4 linked regions of the Oryzias latipes genome follow. The protein of the gene in region 1 purifies or fractionates together with the protein of each later gene. This does not show direct contact. Links are inferred from orthologs where the notes say so. Each region holds a gene or a part of one and is shown in the gene's direction. Other genes may lie near its edges.

Region 1 (6,322 bases):
GAGGCTGAAATCTTTTTGAATTCTTTAAACAGTACCAGAACAATTAAAGACTCTGAAAAAGAGCTTTGTGATGATCCAGTAAGTCTTGGAGAAGTCTGTGACTGCATCAAGATGTTAAAAACAAATAAATCTCCAGGAACTGATGGATTAACTACTGAATTTTATACTTTATTCTACCAGCAGATGGCGCCCTTTTTACTGGAAGTTTACAATGAAAGTATTTCTAATGACACCCTACCCTGGAGTATGACCCAAGGACTTATTACCCTGATCCCAAAACCTCACAAAGATTTACTCTATATTGATAATTGGAGACCCATCTGTCTTCTTAATAATGATTATAAAATTTTAGCTTTAGTTTTTGCTAAAAGAATTAAATCTGTTCTTAACTCAGTAATAGATGAATCACAATCAGGTTTTTTACCCAACAGACATATCACAAACAACATTCGTTTAGTTTTGGACATACTCGATTACTCTTATCTAATTGCACATGACTCTTTTATGCTATTTCTGGACTTTTTTAAGGCCTTTGATACAGTAGAACATAACTTCCTGTATCGTTCCTTACAAAAATTTGGTTTTGGTGACTACTTCTGCAAAGTCATTAAAACTCTTTACAACAATGCCACCTGCTCCATTAAACTTAAACATGGTTCATCACCTAGGTTTGATATAAAACGTGGGATTAGACAGGGTTGTCCCATATCTCCATATCTATTTCTTCTTGTAGCTCAGCTTCTCTGTGACCACATTAAATCCAGTCCATTACGAGGGATCTCCATCGCTGGTAGATCTATTGTCGTAAGTCAGCTCGCCGATGATACCACTCTCTTTCTTAAAGACAGCTCACAAATTCCATTAGCAATAAATATAATTACGTCCTTTTCCAAAGCAGCCGGTCTTTCATTAAATCTGAAAAAATGTGAACTCCTCCCAATTAAATCTTGTGATTCGGATTCACTCTTTAATATTCCTGTAAAGACATCAGTCACATATCTTGGCATAATAATATCAAAAACTGAAAATGATAGAGGTAATGCTAACTTTTTTCCAATTATTAATAAAATGAAAAAGAGGTTTAACCTCTGGCTCTTACGTGACCTTTCCATTAAAGGTCGAATTCTCCTCTCCAAGGCTGAAGGGCTCTCCAGAGTCATTTATGCCGCTCAGTCTCTTTATGTCAGTAACATCCTTAGCAAAACTGTTGATAAACTGCTATGCGACTTTGTCTGGAAAAACCGAACTCATCATATAAGGAAATCTGTTCTAATGAATGATTACACTAGTGGGGGTCTGAACTTTCTAGATTTCAGTACCCTAAATATGACTTTTAAAATTAATTGGATAAGAAAGTTTTTGAAAAATCCGAACTCTCTGTGGAACTTCATTCCCAATTATATTTTCTCCCAGGTTGGTGGCCTCGACTTTTTACTCCTCTGCACCTACAAGCCCGACAAAGTGCCCATCAAACTATCTTCATTTCATAAACAGATGTTACTTGCTTGGTCCATGATTTATAAACATAATTTTTCTCCTCACAGGTTTTACATTTGACACAATAGATATATTCTTTACAAAAACAAAACTATCTTTATCCAACAGTGGTTTGATAATAATATCAGACTAGTTAGTCAATTATTCAATCAACAAGGTCAACTTTACACTTACACCGAATTCCTTCAGTTCTACCAGATCCCTGTTTCTATGAAGGACTTTTCGGTTGTTTTTGATGCCGTTTCCCTCAACCTCACCTATCTTTATAAAGGAACTCCTACTCCATCTGCTCCCCAACCACAGCTTCATGTGACAGACACTGCTGTCGGAAAACTCTGCTTCTCTGCTTTGAGAAATCAAAACAAAACCATCCGAAGACTGTTCCAGCAGGAGCTCAAAACTGAATCCCCGGCCATAACTTTCTGGACTTCACTTCATGGTCAAATGTGTTGGGAAAAGGTTTGGCTTCTGCCAAACAAATATCTTCTAAACAACAAAGTGAAAGAGGTTTCATTCAAGATCATTCATAGGTTTTATCCAACAAATCAGTATATGCAAAGGCTAAAAAGGGATATTGATAAAAACTGTTTTTTCTGTTCTCAGTCTGAGGAAACGTTGGTGCATATTTTTTGGACCTGCAAGTACACTGAAAAAATATGGGACAAAATGACAAATTTGATAAAAACTCAAATTTATCCACATTTTAATTTAACCTGGAAAAACATCTTATTTGGTTACATTAATTATGATAAGACATTTTTATCTCAATTTTATTTAATAAATCTTCTAATTTTATTAACCAAGTATTATATTCACAAATCTAAATTCAGCAATAAAGCTCCTAATTTTCTTGATTTACTAGCCCAAGTTAGATGTTACTTACATTCCATTTCCCCCAGTACAAACAAAAAAGCTATTAAAACGTATCACCTTGCTCAGCTGTATAATTTAGTGTAAGTTTATTTTTTTGCTTGCATATCCCCTGGCGTTTATTTTGAACATTTGATGTACAGCTTATTGTTCCTTGTTCTTTTGCTGTATGTCACTTTTGTTCTGCATCAATAAAAAAAAAAAAAAAAAAATTTCCGGGTTGGCTCCATAACTTCCGCTTAGCGACGCATGCTCAGTCTCACTGCGTTTTACGTCTTTGATGTGGACCGGCATTTTCCCACAACACACTGCAGCAGCTTACACCAACGACGAAAATGGCGGACAACTGTTCTTCGGTAGGTTATGGAAACGTATATTATTGTTTTTAAAAATAACAGCTACTATTGGATACTAACATCTGCTGTTTTATCAACAGGTCGAAATTGTGGAAGGCTGTCGCCTCCCCGTTCTTCGTAAAAACCAGGAACATGAGGATGAGTGGCGTAAGTACTTTTCGTTCGTGCTTAGAGCTAAGCTAATGCTAACTAACAAACAAATATGACGGCCTTCAAAAAAACCTTAAAAACAAATTCAGATAAAATGCAGTGACTGCTATGGTAGAAACTGTTCGTTTAGGTCTAAATTGCTTTGTTACTTCTTTATTTGTGTTTTTGGGCTGGAAATCATTTAGTCGCAATGTTTAAACACTAGAAATTTAGATAAGTCTGAATTACATTTTGCTTTTCAAAAGCCCTACATTTTAAATTACGAATTTAAAAAAAGGTTGAGTTTCATACGCAAGGATTGTATAAATTGTGATAATTCACTGCTGTCCAGTACAGTTCATCATGTAGACATGAGAGCTGAAGTTAAAGATGACAATGTTTTTTCTTAAAAGAGCATAAGTTCATCTAGTTTGTTGAATTCCTGAGGTAGTTCCAAGCTATTTAAATCAAAGTACTAGCTTTGTTACACATCATCAGTGTGATTAAAGTAAGCAATACCCATTTTTATCTTGGCGCTAAAAAGCAAAACCACTCTTGCACTAATTATAACTGTGAATGTTCATTTTCCACTTGAATTAAGATAAAATAGCTGTGTGTTTACTTTGTAAATAGTATTTATAATTTCTTTTCTACTTGTGCAGCTTTGGCTGAGATCCTGAGTTTGAAGGAGGTTTCTGGAAGAAAGCTGTTCTATGTTCACTACATTGACTGTGAGTAAAGCAAAGTTCATCTTTCCTGTTTCACTATCATTAAAGAAAGCTTAGACTTTTCATTCATGTCATTGTTTCAGAAAAAACAAAAGTGATTCCAAACACATAAAGAACGTTCTAGTTTCGGTCGTGTTTCATATGGACGGAAAAAAATAATCTTTTCATAACAGTTGGTCTTTTAGTTGGTAATGTAAAATTGTGTGTGTCTGCAGTCAACAAGCGCTTGGATGAATGGGTCACAGCAGACAGGCTGGACATGAAGAAGCTCCAGTTTCCCAAAAAAGAAGCAAAAACACCCACAAAGAATGGACTGTCAGGCTCGCGTCCTAGCTCACCAGAAAGAGCAGAAAGAGAAGTAGTACCAGTAAGTTTACCCTTGAAGATTCATAATAAAGCATTAGTAAACTACATTTAAATGTTTACGGCAGTTCCCCAACAGTACTGTTGGAAAACAGTTGGTTGTGAAAGACTATTTTCATTGACTGCTTAGTTTCCATCTTATTGAAGTTGAGTTTTTTTTTGATAAAAAATTGAATCTACAGGTTTTTTTTCCAGTCACAAAAACAAAACATACTTGCATACTTGCCAGGCTTGTTTTTAGGACCTTTTTTTTTTTTATCATAATCTGTTTCTGTTTTATGAGTGTTGTCAAGCACTACATATATATAGTGTATATATATAGTTATATATAGTTGGAAAGTTTTGTCTGTATGCTGTTAAGTCTGGTTTTCTTTTGAAAATGTGTCTTTGCTCACTATTTCAAGGGCCACACACAATCACAACAAAAGCATGAACGGCAAAAGCATGAATGGCATCTCTGGGTTTTTTGTAAGTCAGTTGGTAAAGCAGCTTCTGCAGTCTCCTGCTCATTCTGTCTGATGAAAAACAGACAGACCAGGTTTATGTCGACACTCAGCAATGTCGGTCATCTGCAACATATTTGGGTTAGGTGTTTTGCAGACAAAATCCTTCTTGAACAGCATGCATTGACAATAGTTGCTGCCCTGTTTCTCTTCTAAATGACACAGGCTATAAACTTAAGTAGATTAGAATTCTTCCTTTAGCTTCAAAGCAGAGAAACAAAATGGTTAAAAATCAAATTCAACAAAGCAAATGTTCAAGATTTATTTGATGCTTTACTCAAGATGCCTCTGATACAAATATAACTAAAATTGGAATAAAATGATATTGTTGAATCAATTGTTACTTAAAAAAATGAATAGTTCTCATAATTAAATGGATAAATAACGCCCCGTAGAGTTGATATTGACTCTCTCCTTAAAACTCAACCCTCACACTTTATTTGAGCTGTGGACTCTCTTTAAAGTTTGAAATTTTGCCAGTTAAAGTTTAATGTTATTATAATTTCAGGGGGGGGTTGTCTCTAAATTACCTAAATCACTGCGCTGTCTGCTTTCTCTTCAAACTGTGCTCTGTGAGGTGACTGCATAACAGTGAGGATTCATGTTTCAGTCCATGTTTCAGACTTATTTTCTAGAACCAAAGTATGGTGGCACCGGAGAGCTATCCCTAAAACTGAGACTCAGTTTGGTCAAAGTTGTCTGTCTGAGAGCACAAGGAGTAGCAAACAGATGTTGGGGCTGACGGGGCAAAATGCAACAGCACAGCACTCTGCAATATTCATGTTAATTACTATAATATTTTATAATTTATTCATGTAAATGCTGTGCCTAAAAAAGAACATATTTTAATATTCTTTACTGTTTTATTTCCTGAATAAGTTATTAAACTGCTGAAGCAGTGTGTGGAAAAACTTGGTAAGACCATAACTTTCTAGAAATGAGAAGAATCTTTAAGTAGCAGCCAGTTTGGGTTTGCTTGAGCATCTGGTTACCAACAGGTGTTTGTTTTTGTTAGAAAACATCAGGAAGCTTAACCCTTATCTCAGAGTTTAAGGACCTCATTTAGGATTTTTCATCCCAAAAAATGTTTGTTACAAAGCAATCTTTTTAATAAGGAACACTGCAGTGTATTATTGTTTAAATGCACTATTCCATTGTTCACAAAAACACTATAAAGAGTAAATCAAACCCCAAATTCCTGCTAGACGGCTGCGAAGAATTGAGCATTCAGGTTTTTGGCATTTATATCAGTCAGGCTGAGAATTTCTGATTTATCCTTTTAAACTTGAATTAATAAGACCACGATTAGAATCCATCTATGATTTGGTTTAGCAATGTTTCATCTTTGAGATTTGCAGCTGACCTCTTTATTTTTCTTGGCCATGAAAAAGTTTGTCCAATAATTATGGCGTCTGAAACAAAGTAATTGGGAAATTTGCTTTATTTTTTACACACGCTGCTCTTAACCTTTTTTAAAAAAAACTGGATTAGGTAGCAAACTAGTGATCCAAGAAATGCTGTTAATCTGTGGAAAAGAAAAAGTAAATCAAAGTTTTCAATTTTTCCACACACTGCCTTTTGTGTTTTTGTTTCATTGAAATGAATGATGATCTCCTGGTTTACTTTATGTAAAATTGTATTAACTATAAAATCTCTATTCTTCAGTCTTTCTTGCTCCTTAAATGTGTAATTAACTAAGCCCTTAAAGCTGACTGGGACTACTTTCTTTTTCACTACTGAGACAAAAATCCCATATTATTGGTCCTTGAACCCAAAGTCTCAGTATTTTTCTGTTTATATGTCAAATGTGGATCTTTTGTATCATGTAATGACACCCCGCTGTCAGCCCTTAACACATGTCTGCTTTTCTCCTGTG
Region 2 (6,080 bases), on another chromosome or scaffold:
CCAGTGGTTCTCTGAGTTCCTGTTGTCTTTCTATCAGCTGGAACCAGTCTGACCTCTGACCTCTGGCATCAACAACAACGTTCAAAGTCACTTCAATCATCTTTCTTCCCTGTTCTGATGCTGGTTTGAGCTGCAGAGATCATCTGGACCATGTCTACATGTCTACACGCATTAAATTGCTGCCGTGTGATTGGCTGATGAGAGATTTGTGTTAACGAGCATTTGGACACCTGATAAGGTGTCTGTTGAATGTTGTCAGGACATTTAATTAGCTAAGCCTCTCCACCAACAGTCAGAGAAATAGAAGTTACTGAAATGAGAGGAGAACTATCTTCTAGATCAGGGATCTGGAACCTTGAACACTAAAAGAGCCGTTTGATCGGCTTTCTGTCTGAGCAAAACCCAGAGAGCCACAAAGTCCCACTTCAGGTTTAGAAAATTACACTTTGTGGTCTTTGTGGTCATTCAGGATTTCATTTCTAAAATGTAGCTTTGAAATATTTACAAGAATTGAATGCTGACAGGATTGTGTTTGACAACTTAGACTTTTTGTTTTTAACATTTAACAGCAACAGCCCCAGAGCCACGATGGAGGGATAAAAGAGCCGCATGTGGAGGTTCAGGTTGCAGACTCCTGATCTGGATCAACCTTTAGACCCCAGATGCTCTAAAGAACAGACATCCAGTGAAAACTGAGAACATTCAAAACCTTTTAAACGAAACATTAAAACTAGTAAAGTAAAAAAAGTTTACGCTGGCCTCATTGAGGAAAGTGCAATAATTAACATGATCTAGTCTGAGTTTTAAACTTCAGGAAACAAGAAAATTAAGGGTTCAAACCCCGCAGATGTACGTCTGACCAGCACCCGCCCTGCAGGCAGTGGACAGCTGCTGTTGGCTGGGGGGCACTGTGGTCTGAAGGATAGTACCCGGTGTGAATGTGGGGGTCCATCACAAACTCCGGATGCTCAAACACTGGCTGAGGTCCCAAGGTCTCAGCGACCTTCATACTGACCCGCCTGAATGACTGACAGCAGCAGAGATGACGGTTTTAGCGAGATAATTCCAGAGGAATGACGCTGCTTCTTTTTTAAAACCAAGATGTTTATTCAAAAGTGAACAGGCAGCTTTACAACTGACACATGAAGCTAGGACAGATGGGTGGAGTGGAACCCCTGACTGCCCTCTGGTGGCCACAGGTCAACATGACATCCACAACACTGCTGAGCAGTTTTGCACGTTTGTTCATTTTGTATTTTTGGAGACTGTCTGTGTTTTTATCAGGCCCGTTTCTAGCTTTTGTGGGGGCCCAGGCAAAATGCTGTTTGGGGGTCTCCATGTTGTAAAACTGTAATGAGGAGATTTGTAACCCCTTTGGTCAACTAAGATGGCACAATATATTACACTTCACAATGTTAAATTGAAAGACTTCAGCAAAACTGTGTGACATAATAATAATTAAAATAAATAATAATAATAATAGGGGCTGCACGGTGGCGCAGTGGTTAGCGCTCTTGCCTCACAGCAAGAAGGCCTCCAGTTCAAGTCCCAGCTGGGTGACATGAAAAACACAACATCAATGGGGGACCTTTCTGTGTGGAGTTTGCATTTTCTCCCCGTGCATGCGTGGGTTTTCTCCAGGATCTCCAGTTTCCTCCCACCGTCCAAAACATGCTTCAAAGGTTGATTGGCAACTCTAAATTTTCCATAGGTGTGAGAGTGAATGGGTGTGTGATTGAGGATATTCTACCCTGGGACAGACTGGCGACCTGTCCAGGGCATCCCTTGCCTTAGCCCAAGTGGCTGGGATAGGCTCCAGCAACCCCATGACCCCAAAAGGGAATAAACAGTGAAGAAGATGAATTAATAATAATAATAATTATACAAAGTAATAATAATACCAACACAACAACAACAATGATGACAATAATCAGGAACAGCTTATTATTGCAGGTTTTCAAAATATATTTTATTTTATTTATAGCCAACTTTTTATCTGTTACAGTATAAGGAGTTTAATAAACAAAAGAAAACATCTACAGGTAAAAATAGAGGTGTTATTCTCCTCAGAAGAATAACACAGGGGAAGAATCAGTGGAGATTGTTCTGTGTCATTGTGAACTGTATGGGGAAGAAAGACGACAGCTGGAGAATAGAGTTCATAGAGGTGAACGGCTGAGTTTTAAAGAAGCTTTTGGGAGGGGAGGAGAATTTAAGTGGTGCATTATAGGTTTTTATGAGCAGAACCAGATTATTGAGGAGAATATAGTTTGTTTTTTGGTTAGATATTCCCCAACTACGATCCATCCTCCAATACAGCAGGTGGCGGTACTGCCCTTGTCGTTGGTGCCTCCCGCCATTTAAACTACAAGAAGAAGAAGAAAAAGCAGCAGAAGAAGAAGCCCCGCTGGCTAACGGCTGTTTTCTAAGGCCATCACCGGACGCAGCTATACCGATTTCAGCGCGTACTTTTGAATCCAAGTGATACTTTGGCATCATGGTAAGTAATTCCCGACCGTTTAACGACCGACATAACCGGACCGAAACCCCTCTGTCCGGTAGTCCGCGCGGGCCCGAGCATCAACGTCTGTGGCGCCTAAATGTGGTACAAGCTAGCGTTAGCTTAGCATGCTAACCACCAAGTTTTTCCCGCGGAGTCGTAAAATAAACGATCTGGATCACCGAGCGCCGTTACCGGCCGTGGATCGACTCTGTGGTTGTGTGTTCTCCAGGCTGGCGGTAAGGCTGGGAAGGACTCCGGGAAGACGAAGACCAAGGCGATTTCGCGCTCGCAGAGAGCGGGACTCCAGGTCAGTTAGCGCCGCTCATTCATTCCCGCTGGCCCCGCCGCGGCCGGCCGTACTGGCGCGGGTCGGGGCGCTCCGCCTGTCGGTGAACGCTTGTATCCCTCCTCGCTGTAGTTCCCGGTGGGTCGCATCCACAGACATCTCAAGTCTCGAACCACGAGCCACGGCAGAGTGGGGGCCACCGCCGCCGTGTACAGCGCGGCCATCCTGGAGTACCTGACCGCAGAGGTAAGACCGGCTGCAGCATGTGGCGAAAAGTCATCTAAAAGAGAGTTTTCCAAATGTATAAGGATCATCCAGATGGGTCAAAATAAGAAAGATACGGCGTTTGAAGTGAAGGGCGGAATTTGATTCCTGAAATATAAGGGAAAAGGCAAAAGTTTTGTGACCCGAATCACAGATGAGAGTTCTTAGTGTGATAACTTTATCCTTAAAATCCAAGAAAGAGGCATCATTGCTAAGATATTCAAACGAACTACAGGAAACGACAATGAAACTGTTATTTAATCAAAAGTACGACATTCTAAAAGTACTTCACTAAGCTACATCTGATCCTTTGTTGGTGGACAGTGGCTGCAGCCAATCAGCGTACTCCAAACCGGTCACATGACCTCATGTCCCAGCATGCACTGCTTGCAAACGAAAAAACAGTACCTACTAACTTCTTTTATTAAAACAGCAAAAATCGACTAGTTTCAAAATTAGACACCAACTAACTTACTGTAGAAAGTTGAAGAGGGATTTTGAGAACCAAGATATTCATCCGGAGAATTCCCTACGTTATACTGCAAGGATCGAAAAGATGTGAGAAGCAGATCAAAGACGAGTTTATCGACTTTTATACTTTATGTTACCTACCGATCTAACTGTTTATTCAACGAGAGTGGACGCTGCAGCCGAGCGCACAGGTCTGATCACTGGTTTGGAGGAAACGTACCTGCGCCTCCTGCCGGCCGGCTCCCCTCTGCTCCTTCTGAGGTTTTGGCTTTCCACAGGTCCTGGAGCTGGCAGGAAATGCATCAAAGGACCTGAAGGTGAAGAGAATCACTCCACGCCACTTGCAGCTCGCCATCAGAGGAGACGAGGAGCTGGATTCTCTCATTAAGGCCACCATTGCCGGCGGAGGTGAGTGGGGGCTTCACCTGGACGTCCCGGGCTGACTAAGCCCCGCCCCGGTCTGAACAGGTGTCCTGTCTTTCAGGTGTGATCCCGCACATCCACAAGTCCCTGATCGGGAAGAAGGGCCAGCAGAAGACGGTATAACCCAAGTGCTCTGAACATTGTGCCATCTCAGGAGGACGTCAGCATCCAGTGTTCAATGTCGTAGATTAGAAAACTTTTCACGATTTTTATGGTTGAATTTGTGTCTACTCACCCGGGGTATTTTTTTTTTAAAGTGGCTTCAGAGAAGCTCTTTGTCCCTTTGGCCTTTCCTGGTGTTGCAAGCGTCTGTGTTCCACTCGCTAACGTGGCGTTTCCATGTTCAGTGGTGTTTTAATGAAGCAGCTTTCAGTTTTCTAACCTGGCTGCAGGACGAGGGGTCAGGAGGTCGACCATCGGCGGCTGAGGCGTGCATGTGGGAAAGACCCCAAACATTTGAAGATGCGTGTGAACTGATGCATGAGTGGCAGCACACGTTTATGCTGGAGTTCCCGCTGCACAGGCGTGGTCAAGGCTCCCTGCTGCGTCCTTTTCTGTATTAAATTTTATGTGGAGACGGTCTCTTTGTTTTAATTCCTGACGATGCTTCTTCATGCTTCTTTTCCCACGTTTTCTATAAAGCAGTTTTTGGCTTTGATTTCTGTGGTTTTTCAGTCATTGCAGGTCTGGTGTGATGGATGCTATCGCTCTGAAATGACCTTTAACCTCTAGCAGAAAAACATTTCCTATTAAACTGAAGTTGAGCTGTTTCAAAGACGAGTCTTTTGCAGAGTACTGTGAAGTCTATCAGCTGGTTTAATCTAAACTCTGCCGTTTGGAGACCAAACCTTTACGTCTGTTTTGGACTTGATGGCGGTTTTCTGGAGCATGTTCGGGTTTTTCTGCTGGCAGACGTCCACCTCCGTTTCTACCACCTCCACCTGCCAGCAGGAAGGACCCGGACATGAACCAGGCACGCGCTCCGGAGCTCCACTCTGAATGTGGGACAGTGCTGCCCCCTGGTGGCCTTCAGCTGTATTTGCTCTGTTTCTAAGAAAGAACCGAGTCTTTATTGGATTCTGAAGGTGACGGATCTGTTGTCTGAGCTCAGAACTGCTGCTGTGGACGAGTGAAGCCTGAGACACGATGCAACACGTGTCTCCGGGACACAAACATATGGAATCACTGGAACAAGGAAACCAAACATGCTCCATCCTGATGCATCTGTGGAAAACGAACCACGTCCGGCATCACTAAGCAGAGTTGGGTCTCCATGCTGCTCATCAGTGATGAGATGCAGTGGAGGAAAAATATCCACCGCTTCCCTCTTTGTCATGTAAACTCTGAGATTTTGTCTACAGGGACATGTCCAAAGTCCGGCCCATGGGTCAAATGCGACTTGCGTTCAGATTTCTCCTGTCAACATTTGCTGCTCACAGCAGTTTTTCATAACGTGATCGTCTAAACTGTCACTGGACTTTCTGACTCTTTCCAGCTCGTTTCTAAAATGTCGACTGTTAAAAAACGTAAAAAGCGGAAATGGGAACATTTGAGTAAACACAAATCAATCAGGTCTGTCTTCATAATTCTAAACCACAAACATTCATAGTTTATGATTTAAATTTGGACGTTTACAGAAAGCAGTAAATATTGAATAAACGTAACAAAATCAATGTTGACAAGTTTTTTTTTTTTTTTTTTTTTACAAACAACTTTTTCTTCATTTGATTTTTGGTCTTCAAATACAAAATTCCCAGTAAATGTGTAAAAATGTATTTCTGTTCTGAAGGAACAAAGAGTCATTGCATTACAGCATTGGCCCTCCCCTGCATGAAGACATCTGACTAAATCCTAATCATGTCTAAAATCCCAACGGCCAATCACATGACGGGTGTCTGCATCAGCAGCCCTCAGACGGCTGCAGGGACGTTTCTACGCTGCTTTACCAGGAGAAACGGGGGGGGGCTGCAGTGTGTCGCACACAGGAAGCTGAGGCTCTTCGCTTCATCTGTGGGAGTGAAATCTGACGGGACGCGTCAAAATAATGAAGGCGAGCGCTTCAGGACGCCGCAGTGCTTCCAGGAAACCGTCCGAACGGATCAAACGTGAACGGGAGAAAGGAGTCCAAACTCC
Region 3 (4,060 bases), on another chromosome or scaffold:
ATGTAAATAATGTATGTATCAATACTGTGTTATGTTTAGACAAGTTTTTTATACACAAAAATAGGTTACAGAAATGCCACCCCAGCTTTAGCTTCTTTAATAATGAGGTCAATTTATACTTAAAATCCATAAAGTTAATCGACTCACCTAAAGCCATAACAATTTATGACACCCTGAGTGATATTCCTGATGTCTAAGACAGTTTATTTATATTTTGTATCCCCCTGCTTTTTGCAACACTATCCAACTCTGAAATTGTTGTTCTCTTATGTTATACTTTTCCCTGATTTCTCTATGATTATGAATATACATAGGTTTATGTTTGCATACTGATAAGAATTTTTCTTCTTTTTGCTTCCTTTCCAATTATAGTATTCTCTTTTGTATTCGCCATATTTTGTAATTTTTATGTAAATGTTCTGGTATTGTTTTGTATTGTTCTATAAAAAAAAAAAAAAAAAAAAAAAAGGGGAAGAAAGACTCACAAAAACGCATGCAGGAATGGTCCCATCTCCAATAGTGTGCTCGGCATACTCCTTCAGGTTTGGGCTCTCGTGAATAAAAGCTCTGCTGGTGGCTGGCAGTCCCTCTTCCTGCAGGTATCCTGAAGAAAGATGGAAATCAAACTGCTCACCCCCAAAAAGAAACTGCACGAACACAAACGGAAAACCCAACTGCTATCCCAAGCCGGTGAGCCCTGTCAGCTTTAATCCGCCCATCTTACCCTTCGTTTTCGAGACAGGCTAAAAGCTACAGCTACAATCCCCTCTTCCTTCCTCTGGCTTTGACTTACCCAAAACAAGCCGGGCCACATCAGAAGGGAGCAACATGGCAGCCTAACAGCTAATACGATATATTCGGGGTTTAAAAGATACACAAAAACGTCAAGTAAAAGAATTAGCGACTATAAATAGACAACATAAAACTAGTCGATTTCGGTGATGTTGTTGTCCTGAGGCTGAGTGTACTCCAGCTATTTCAAAAGGCGGGGAACTCAATCATGTATAACCCGGAAGACTTAAAGTGACACACCGATTAGATCTCTGGTAATTGTAGTTAACAACACAGAAAATCTTAGCTAGGTGTTTTAAAACGCCACAAATAACGGCACATTTTCTAATTTTAAAATTTTAGACAGTCTCAACTTCTAATTACATTAAATATTATGTAAAAGTGCAACGAAATCATGCGTTTCTTAAATAATAAATAAATAAATAAAGTCGTTCAAGACGTATACGACCAGGAAGTAGACGTCACTGGTACTGGGGCGGGAATCTGCGTGTGCGTGTAGCTGCTAACGCACGTCGAGGGGAATGGAAAAGTTGCTGTAGGGACAGTAGCACCTTGGCTAACACCTGTCTGTGCACGAGCGCTGGGCAGCTTGGAAATAACAGTCACCTGAGGTCCGTAAAGAAGCCGAGAGCAACCGGTCCCATATGTGTGTCAGTCCATTTCCCTCCAACCTTTTTTACCTTTTTTTTTTTGAAAGGAAGAGGACAGAAACTTTCGCTTTCTCATCCGCCCTGCAAGATAATTATATGAGCTTTTCTCCCCCTCTGCCAGCAAAGTTTACTCAGGTAACAAAAGACAAAACCCCGAAATTTGCACAAATTTAAAGCGATTTCTAACAACACAATGACAAGTCTACAACTCCTAACAATTCTCGTTTATTATTGCACGTCTGGCTTCATTTTTTTGCATTTGGCACAGAATTTGAACGAGCCTTTGCCTGGGCGACCTTCTGTGGTACTTTGAAGGCATTAAGGTGCTTTAAAAAGACATCCATCCACCACGTGACAGCTGTCTGTACACACCCACACTATGCTGACAATCCTCATGTTTGCAGAGCATAAACCATTCTGCATTTTGCCTTGAATGGAAGCAGTCAGAGACCTTACAGAGCCTTTGTGTATGTTGATATTTGGAACAGATGTGATGATGCTTTGATGTTGTCCAGACAGGTACAACAATCAGCTGTGAAGCAGGATGAGTCTGGCTCTACATGATTTACTGCTCTGCTGCAGAGGGCTGGAACATGATAAAGCTACTGAGAGAAAGGTAAAAACGCAAACATCCTAACATTTGGGGACTTAGTAGAAAAATTATATCTTTCATTCATTCATCTTTGAATCCCTGGAGCCTATCCCGAACGCAGGGGACATCCTGGACAGGGGCCAGTCTGTTGCAGGGTCACAATCACCCATCCATGCACTCTCACATTCACACCTAGGGACAATTTAGAGCAGGGGTCGGGAACCTATGGCTCGCGAGCCATATATGGCTCTTTTGATGGTCACATGTGGCTCGCAGACACATTTTTAATTTTTTCTTTTTCATTAGACCAGTCCTTCTCGGGCGCGATGGGATGGCAGAGGCGCACAGTAGTAGCGGTGCTTGGAGAGAAGGATCTGCGCCAGCATTATCAGTTTACAATTATCTATTATTTCACAGAGTTTGTACCAGCCGGAAACCTGTGAATTGCCGTGCCTAAAACTGCGCGCCCCCGTCTCTGAGAAAGAGCGCGCAGTAGCGGGGACAGGATGTGACTGAGAGGGAGAAAGCAGAGGGTGAGGGTGGAGTTGTGGGCTCGGTCAGTAAGGTGAACCGCGCAGGGATTGTAAAAACATAAAACCTGCTGCCCGTCACTCACTGCAGCGTGTGAGTGTGTGTGTTTGGCTCCGCGTCTGCATGTGATCAGTCTGTCTCACATTTACAGAACATTCAGACCTATGATCACGTTTAAAGTCTCAACGCCTGAACGAAGCAGAAACTCACCACGTATCAACCAGACTAGACCATCAACAAAACTACCACGAGAAATACTCATCATTTATTAGCAACAGCATAACAATGTTATTAAAAATAATCCACAGACTTATTGTACTTTAAAAGTGTTGAAATTATATCAAATGCACACATTCACTTGAATATTTAGTTTTAAACATATTGTAGCGGACTGAGTTTAACTTGGCTGTTGGGCCGCGTTAAAAGTTCTGGAGTTCCTTGAACGCATCAAGCAGAGATCTGATTGGCTCTTAGTTCTGTCGCTCAGCTTGTTGTTAGTTAATTTGGACCAATGGGGTTCAGCTATGGGCCGAATAAGGGAAATGGGAGGGCTGGAGCGGGAGGGGGGAATATAAAGTTGGGAGAAGCGCTCTCGTCTCGGCGGGAGAGATTCAGGAGCTGCTGAATTAATTTACGGCATTTGTTACAGCCTGCATTAACCAGAATAAAGAACCTTAAAAGAGGTTAAGTCTCCGTGTGGGAAAAGGACACTACATTATTGTATGGCTCTTTCGAAATTACATTTAAAAATATGTGGCGTTTATGGCTCTCTTGGCCAAAAAGGTTCCCGACCCCTGATTTAGAGGATCCAATAACCTATGATGAAGCATGTCTTTGGACTGTGGGAGGAAGCCGGGGTCCCCAAAGAAAACCCACGCATACACGGGGAGAACATGCCAACTCCACACAGAAAGGTCCCCCATCGATGTTCTGCTTCAGGTCCCCCAGCCGGGGACTTGAACCAGGGGCCTTCTTGCTGTGAGGCAAGAGCGCTAACCACTGGTTAAATAATGGATTTGTGTTTTTTGTTCATTTATTTCAGTTAATAAGGTTTTGTTTGGATTTTTAACTCATCAGAAGGGGGTGACGTCATGATAGAAAATGTCAAGCTTTACGTAGCTTTCTTGCAGTTAAATGTGCTTCAGCTGGAGGATCTTATTTGAAACAATCATTTTGGTCTAATTTATTTTTGAAAAGAATTTGTGTGTGCTGCTGTAATAATAAAAGACAGTCAAATCGTTATACAGTACACAGAAAAAAACATTCACTTTATACTTAAATTATTGTAAATATTTTGAAGTGATTTTATAAATGAATAGCTAAATGGCCTGAGAAACATAAATAAAATTTGTTTTTCGAACAGGGAAGTGGGAATTTGTGGCTTTCACTAGGTTTTGTTCATTTAGAAACTAACCCAAATGACTCTTTTAGCGTTAAAGGTTGCAGACCCCTTGTTTGGGTGAATACTCTACTCTGATTGGCTGTACTGGATGTC
Region 4 (6,320 bases), on another chromosome or scaffold:
AATGTGTTTAGTTGTTTAGCTGTTTTACTGTGTTGTGCAATGTTTTGCTGAGTTGTTTAGTCCTACTGTGCTTATGTCTCTGCACCATGAGTAAGAGTGAAGGAGAGGATGATGAGTTTAAATAGCACCCCTACAGGCATTACCTGTAATGAAAATGATGGATAATTCTTTAATGAATTTGTACGCAATGTGCATTTTTCTCCCGTCCTTTTCATTGTTATAAAAATGAGCATATCTGCTGGCTCATACTTAGACAAATGAGAGATCAAGAAATATAAGTAATTAAGATGGAAACAATATTAATTGAATCTGAGTAATATGACATTTAGTCAGATAAATACATAAATTTTAGTTGTATAAACAATTATAGAGTTTTATAGACGTAAAAAATTAGGTTGATTAAATTCAACTCAATTATTTGTTACCAATAGAAGTAATTCATTTAAGGTGGCAAAATTGGATAAGTTATATATATATATATATGCGTCACAAGGAAAATGGAAATTAGATCAGAAACTCTTGCGTTTACTTTGTCTGTTCTTCTACTACAAGCAGAAACTCTTTCTTTTGCGGATGCAGCCATATTACTTTTTTGATGGACGTATAATCTTTATATGCCGTCAATAAAAGCTCAGACTCTGTCTCACTGAAGTATAGCGCTTTCTTTTTTTCCACGCGATTCCATGGTGACGCCAGAAATCGGCGATCCATTGAGAATGTCTTTATGTACTTGACATGCATGTGCATTAACCCAGGGTTACCAAGTCGAGCGTAATTACGCCAACTCATATCCGGTCTTTTGGAACCGACATACCCCGGGTAAGCAAGTTCAGGCGGATTTCAGCCAGAGTTCAGGCTTAAAGTCAGGCTAGTTTAAACATGCTTCCTGGAATACCCCCTTGGTCTGGAGCAGGTTTAGTTGAAGGTTAGTTTGTTTACAGAGAGGTGAAGCAGCATGTCGTGTCCATTTAAAGATGATTTAGTGGATGAAGAAGCTCAGATAATACTTTTTCCACCATGAGAGGGTGATAAGACTACGTTTGGATGTTGGAAAAATAAACTTTTTTACTTTGATCTAACTTAATTATTTGCTTCAGTTAAGAGAAATCATTTCTTTTTAGTTAAGTCAGCTTAAAAATAATACGTAGTTATCAGACATTTATTTTACTTTCATTCAAATTATTTCAATTAAGTAGGTGTAACTTTGGTGCTGCCGTTAGATTGGCACGGCAAAGGATTGTGGGATACCATTCCCTTTGCCTGTCTGGACGGATTGAGGTTTAAGTGTGGGTTTTTGTCCAAATGTGTTTAGTTGTTTAGCTTTTTTACTGTGTTTTGCCGAGTTATTTGTCCTGTTATGTTAAATTCTTTCTGCACCATGAGTGAGAGGGAGGGAGAGGATGATTTGTTTATATAGCACCCCTATTGTGAAGTAGCGCTATGATAAATTCAGAGACAGTGTTTATAGTTCAATAATAGAAATCCATTTTATTTCATTCAATTTATTTTTATATAAATGAGTATATTTGCAGGCTCAAATTTAGACATATGAGAGTTCAAGAAGTACAATAAATTGAGATGTAAAAACTTTAACTGAATTGGAGTAATATGACATTTAGTTAGATAAATATGTAAATTTGAGTTGTAAAAAAATATTGAGTAAGATAGACGTAAGAAATTAGGTTGAATAAATTTAACTCAATTACTTGTTACCAATTGAATTAATCTAAGTTGGATAAGTTATATATATATGTATGCGTCACAATGAAAATGTGTTTACTTTGCGTTTACTTTGTCCGTTCTTTTTCTCCAAGCAGAAACTCTTTCTTTTGCTGATGATGCAGCCGTATTACTTTATTGATGGACGTATAATCTTTATATGCCGTCATTAAAATCTCTGACACCGTCTCACTAAAGTATAGCGCTCTCTTTTTATCCATGTGTTTCCATGGTGACTCTGGAAATTCGCGATCCATTGAGAATGTTTTTAAGGACTTGCTGTGCACGTGCATTAACCCAGGGTAACCAAGTCGAGCGTAGTTACGCTAACTTATATCTTTTGGAACCGACATACCCAGAGTAAGCAAGTTCAGGCGGATTTCAGCCAGAGTTCAGGGTTAAAGTCAGGCTAGTTTAAACATGCTTCCTGGAATACCCCCCTGCTCTATCCTTTCTCGGCTACTGTTGGGCAAACGGCGGGGTACAATTCAAAGAGCTTCTGAATTATGCTTCATTCATTTTTTTTAATTGAAGATCGTTTTGTCTTTGCTGGTGGCCGTTCTGATGATCAATGATTATGCATTAAATACATTTGTGGTCATTAACTGCAATTGTGTTTTTCCCCACAACATCCTACTTGATGCGCATGTTTACATTTAGTTCTTATTTTATTTTTGTTTTGTTATATTTTGTGTGTTGTTTTTTATTTTGTGTCTTGTTTTTGTTTTGCTTTTATTCTATTTTGTGTTTTATTTTGTCGTGTTTTGTTTTATTTTTGTGTTTTGTCTTTATTCTATTTTGTGTTTAGTTTTAGTATAGTTTTGTGCATCCTGTACGCAACTTCCGGTTACGCTGACGAATGGAGGACTGAATCTGTTGTCTGCATTTGTAACGCTTAGTTTAAGATGGGTGAAGCAGACGTGACGCTGAGCCAGGCGGAGGAGAAGCCCCCGGACTCGGGGCTGGCCCCCGGGGAGGACTCGGTGGTCTGGAGCCATGAGGTGGAGGTTTGTTTGTTCCACGCCATGATCGGACACAAACCCGTGGGTGAGACTCGCCTGTCATCACATTAAAGTCTGTGCTGCTAAGCTAGCACGCTAGCCGGAGCGCTCAGCCGCTTTTGTATTTACATCAGATTCACATGGTTCATTGTCAAATGTAAGCTGGGGAATTGCAGACGTCTTAGAAGATTTTATTAAAGGTTTGAGAGATTAATTCTCAAATTTTATTTGACGTATTTGTTTAAAAAAACAAAACAAAACAACAACAACAACCCCTGATTAAGTTGAGAATGTAAAGCTAAAGGGGGCACAGAAACTAAGACTGCCTGCTTCAGTTCTACATGTCCCAAGTCCACCACCGTCTTGGAGGGAGTAGTAGATCCACTGAAAGTAGTTTCTGTCAGGCTGAAGAGTGTTGGAAATGCTAAAACACAAAGTTGTGTTCCTGTGCATCAATGGGAACCAAAAGCTTGAAGGTCTTTTCAGCTCCTGCTAGCAGGACCCCGTGTAACTCCGTGTGCTGTTGGAGCTGCAGAAAATCAGACTTAGATTTGCCTGAACGTGTTTTTTTTTTTTTTTTTACATGTTCTAGTAGTGTTTTTCTGATGATGGAGGACATTTATAAAGAAAATTAGGATTGCATTTCTGAGAATTTCTGTATTCAAATCGCTGTGAATCATGAGCAGATGTAGAAATGCAGTTGGAAAAAAAGTATTTGTGATGTAGAAAATACGCTGGGCGGGGCCACAAGCTCCCTGCCCCGCCCCCATTCTGAGGCACTCGCTTGCAGACCAATGGATCCATGAATGTCTTTTGTTTTCATCGTCTGAGGAATCTGGACGTCTGGAAAGCTACGATTATTGCTGCCATTTTTGTGCAGCCGCTAACGTAAGTTTGGGGGTGAGGGTGGGGGGGGTGTTAGCTAATGGGAGAGCATGTAAACAGAGAGCTCTCAGTTATGGGTGATGGGAAGGAACGGTTGCTCCGCGCCCACAACTCTCCTGCTGCTCCTCAGAAACTATGTCCTAGAAAACGACACAAGTTTTTTTATTTTGGCTAAAACATCAGCATCATAGTTATTTGAAACGCTTTTACAATTACAGGCTTGTATCGGCAAGAGTCTGGTTACACAATATGTACCCACGATATTTTACTAGAAGATGTTTTATTTTAAGTATGACTTAAAATAAAACTGCACCTGAATATAAATACATCTTTCATTGTACTAAAATTGTAAAATTCGGATTATTTAGTGATCATAATGTTAAGCACTGCAACTGTATCTCATATATAAGTTGCTTTTACCCAAACAAATTCATAGTGCTTTTATGTGGGAACTTCAAATATATAAAGGGAACAGTCAACATTGTCTGATTTTCACAACAAATTATTTTTCATTATAACAAAAAATAAAATGAATGAATGTGCCTTAGCCAATACAGTTCTAAAAGTATGATTGAGTTAATAAAGTGCTGTTTATTTTCAACATTGCTTAGTGTAGCTTCTCCAGAACTTTTAAACAGTTTAGGAGCCTGAATGGCGTTTCAAAAAGAAAGAAAATAAAAAACACGGATTCTTTCCAGAAACAATGAGTGTGATGATGAGGCAGCATGACAGGATGAAGGAGACGCTTTAATGTGGCTAAGATGCTTTATTTACATATCAGTTTGCTGCTGCAGCTGTTTTCTCTCACGTGGATGTGAACACGGCATCGCCACGATGTCGGCCTTTTTTCAGAGCGTTGGATACATCACTCTGGTCACTAAACTAGAATCTATTGCTGTGAGGTTCTGCAGAACTTTGACCCGCTTTGCTGACAGCATTTTGCCTGATGCTCCGTGCATTAGCCTCTGTGCAGCTGCAGTGCTTCACTCGTTCTTATCTGAGCCTCTAAAAAGCACTGCAATCTGTGTTTTTATGTTACTGGCAGCAACATGGAACAGAGTTTCGGTTTGATATCCATCCCAAGTAAAAACTAAGTAGTTCATATCTCATAACAACAAAACAAGCTGCTTGTAGCTGAGATCTTGTTGTTTTGTGCGTGTAGAGCTGCTCAAAGAGGCTCTGCTGCCAACTAGCGGTCGGAGGGTGAAGTGGACAACAAGAGTCAGACGCTGAAGGACGATCAGAAATAATTAAATAAAGATCGTCCTGACGATTAAATTTATACAAATATCGCCAAATGAACAATTGCGACATATCGCTGAATCTTCTTTTAGAAGGCTTCATTGTGTGTGTGGGCCCATGGGATGTTGTGTTAACGATGGGAGGGGGGTTGTTTGCACAGATGAGCTTTTTATTAATAAAGTTCAATTTGATAAGACTGCTGCATTGGAACACGATGGACTGTGTCGTGTCTGTTATAGAGGCCGGCTAGTCTAGTCATTAATGCTTCATGAAGGGACTATAGACTGCTTTGTAGTCAGTGAAGCAAGACACTTGTGTGCTGATGAAGCTGAAGAAGCTCTGATGTGTGTGTGTGTGTGTGTGTGTGTGTGTGTGTGTGTGTGTGTGTGTGTGTGTGTGTGTGTGTGTGTGTGTGCACGTGCAGGAGTGAACCGCCATTTCCACATGATCTGCATCCGAGACAAGTTCAGTCAGAACATTGGCCGGCAGGTCTCGTCTTCCGTCATCTGGGACCATCTGGGAACCATGTACGACATGCAGGCCTTGGTGAGGAAGAGCCCCCGCACACACATGCAGGGTCTCTGAAGTCTGGCTGATTTCCCTTTTCCTGTGTGCCGCAGCACGAGTCCGAAATCCTGCCATTTCCTAACACAGAGAAGGCCTTCTCTCTGCCTGATGACATCATCCAGGAAGTCAAAGAAGGTGAGAGCAGAAGCCGTGGAGCCGCTTCCAACCAGGTTCATTTGACATCAGTCAGGCTAGCGTAATCACATGGACTCACTCCCCTTCACTGGCTTATCCGGAGCCGGGTCGCGAAGGCTAGATGCTCAGACCTCCTCGTCCACAGAAACCTCCTTCTGTCCCATCAGCTGGACTCCGAGGCCAGCCGAGCACCGTCCCTCTAGTGTCCTGGGTTGTCTTAGATTCAGTTATTGTTCACTTTCTTTCTGCACGATGCCAAAAGTCTCCAGCTTTATCTGCATTTGCTGTTGAAGGCTGAGGTAGAGGAGGCTGAGGAACACCTGCAGGAGAGGAAGCTGTCAAAGAAAAACTGCAACACCAAACCTCTCCAGCATTTCATTCATAATAAACGGTTAATGAAGCTAAAGTGGAGAAGCTGAGGTGAATTTGATACCATCCTCCATTATCCTCTGCCTGTCTCTCCTCTACGGAGCCTGTGTCCTGACATTAAGATATAAAAATATATCTTGTTCCCACAGATTAATATCTTGTTCCCACAGGTTATTATGTCGTTCGCACGAAATACTATTCCGTTCCCACAAGATACTATTCCGTTCCCACAAGATACTATTCCGTTCCCACAAGATACTATTCCGTTCCCACAAGATACTATTCCGTTCCCACAAGATACTATTCCGTTCCCACAAGATACTATTCCGTTCCCACAAGATACTATTCCGTTCCCACAAGATACTATTCCGTTCCCACAAGATACTATTCCGTTCCCACAAG

The links.
Region 2: the proteins of kat5 (region 1) and histone H2A.Z purify together in Homo sapiens (affinity purification with mass spectrometry; 6 studies listed by BioGRID and IntAct, with this or other methods). This does not show direct contact. The link is inferred for Oryzias latipes from reciprocal best matches to the Homo sapiens genes KAT5 and H2AZ1.
Region 3: the proteins of kat5 (region 1) and atm purify together in Homo sapiens (affinity purification with western blotting; 3 studies listed by BioGRID). This does not show direct contact. The link is inferred for Oryzias latipes from reciprocal best matches to the Homo sapiens genes KAT5 and ATM.
Region 4: the proteins of kat5 (region 1) and mrgbp purify together in Homo sapiens (co-immunoprecipitation; 8 studies listed by BioGRID and IntAct, counting the BioPlex papers as one, with this or other methods). This does not show direct contact. The link is inferred for Oryzias latipes from reciprocal best matches to the Homo sapiens genes KAT5 and MRGBP.

The regions. Positions count from the first base shown.
Region 1 is NC_019872.2:15,161,123-15,167,444, reverse strand, and holds the start of kat5 (histone acetyltransferase KAT5), read left to right. Parts: upstream 1-2,603; 5' UTR 2,604-2,702; coding exon 2,703-2,723; intron 2,724-2,803; coding exon 2,804-2,870; intron 2,871-3,514; coding exon 3,515-3,583; intron 3,584-3,795; coding exon 3,796-3,947; intron 3,948-6,322. UniProt on the Homo sapiens protein: Catalytic subunit of the NuA4 histone acetyltransferase complex, a multiprotein complex involved in transcriptional activation of select genes principally by acetylation of nucleosomal histones H2A and H4.
Region 2 is NC_019876.2:29,620,803-29,626,882, reverse strand, and holds histone H2A.Z, read left to right. Parts: upstream 1-1,973; 5' UTR 1,974-2,497; coding exon 2,498-2,500; intron 2,501-2,732; coding exon 2,733-2,810; intron 2,811-2,921; coding exon 2,922-3,035; intron 3,036-3,802; coding exon 3,803-3,932; intron 3,933-4,008; coding exon 4,009-4,070; 3' UTR 4,071-4,605; downstream 4,606-6,080. UniProt on the Homo sapiens protein: Variant histone H2A which replaces conventional H2A in a subset of nucleosomes. Nucleosomes wrap and compact DNA into chromatin, limiting DNA accessibility to the cellular machineries which require DNA as a template.
Region 3 is NC_019871.2:24,872,602-24,876,661, forward strand, and holds the start of atm (serine-protein kinase ATM), read left to right. Parts: upstream 1-1,260; 5' UTR 1,261-1,577; intron 1,578-1,957; 5' UTR 1,958-1,986; coding exon 1,987-2,058; intron 2,059-4,060. Other genes in the region: protein NPAT, read right to left, coding at 486-604, 794-830.
Region 4 is NC_019865.2:29,091,464-29,097,783, forward strand, and holds the start of mrgbp (MRG/MORF4L-binding protein), read left to right. Parts: upstream 1-2,547; 5' UTR 2,548-2,624; coding exon 2,625-2,766; intron 2,767-5,271; coding exon 5,272-5,393; intron 5,394-5,467; coding exon 5,468-5,549; intron 5,550-6,320.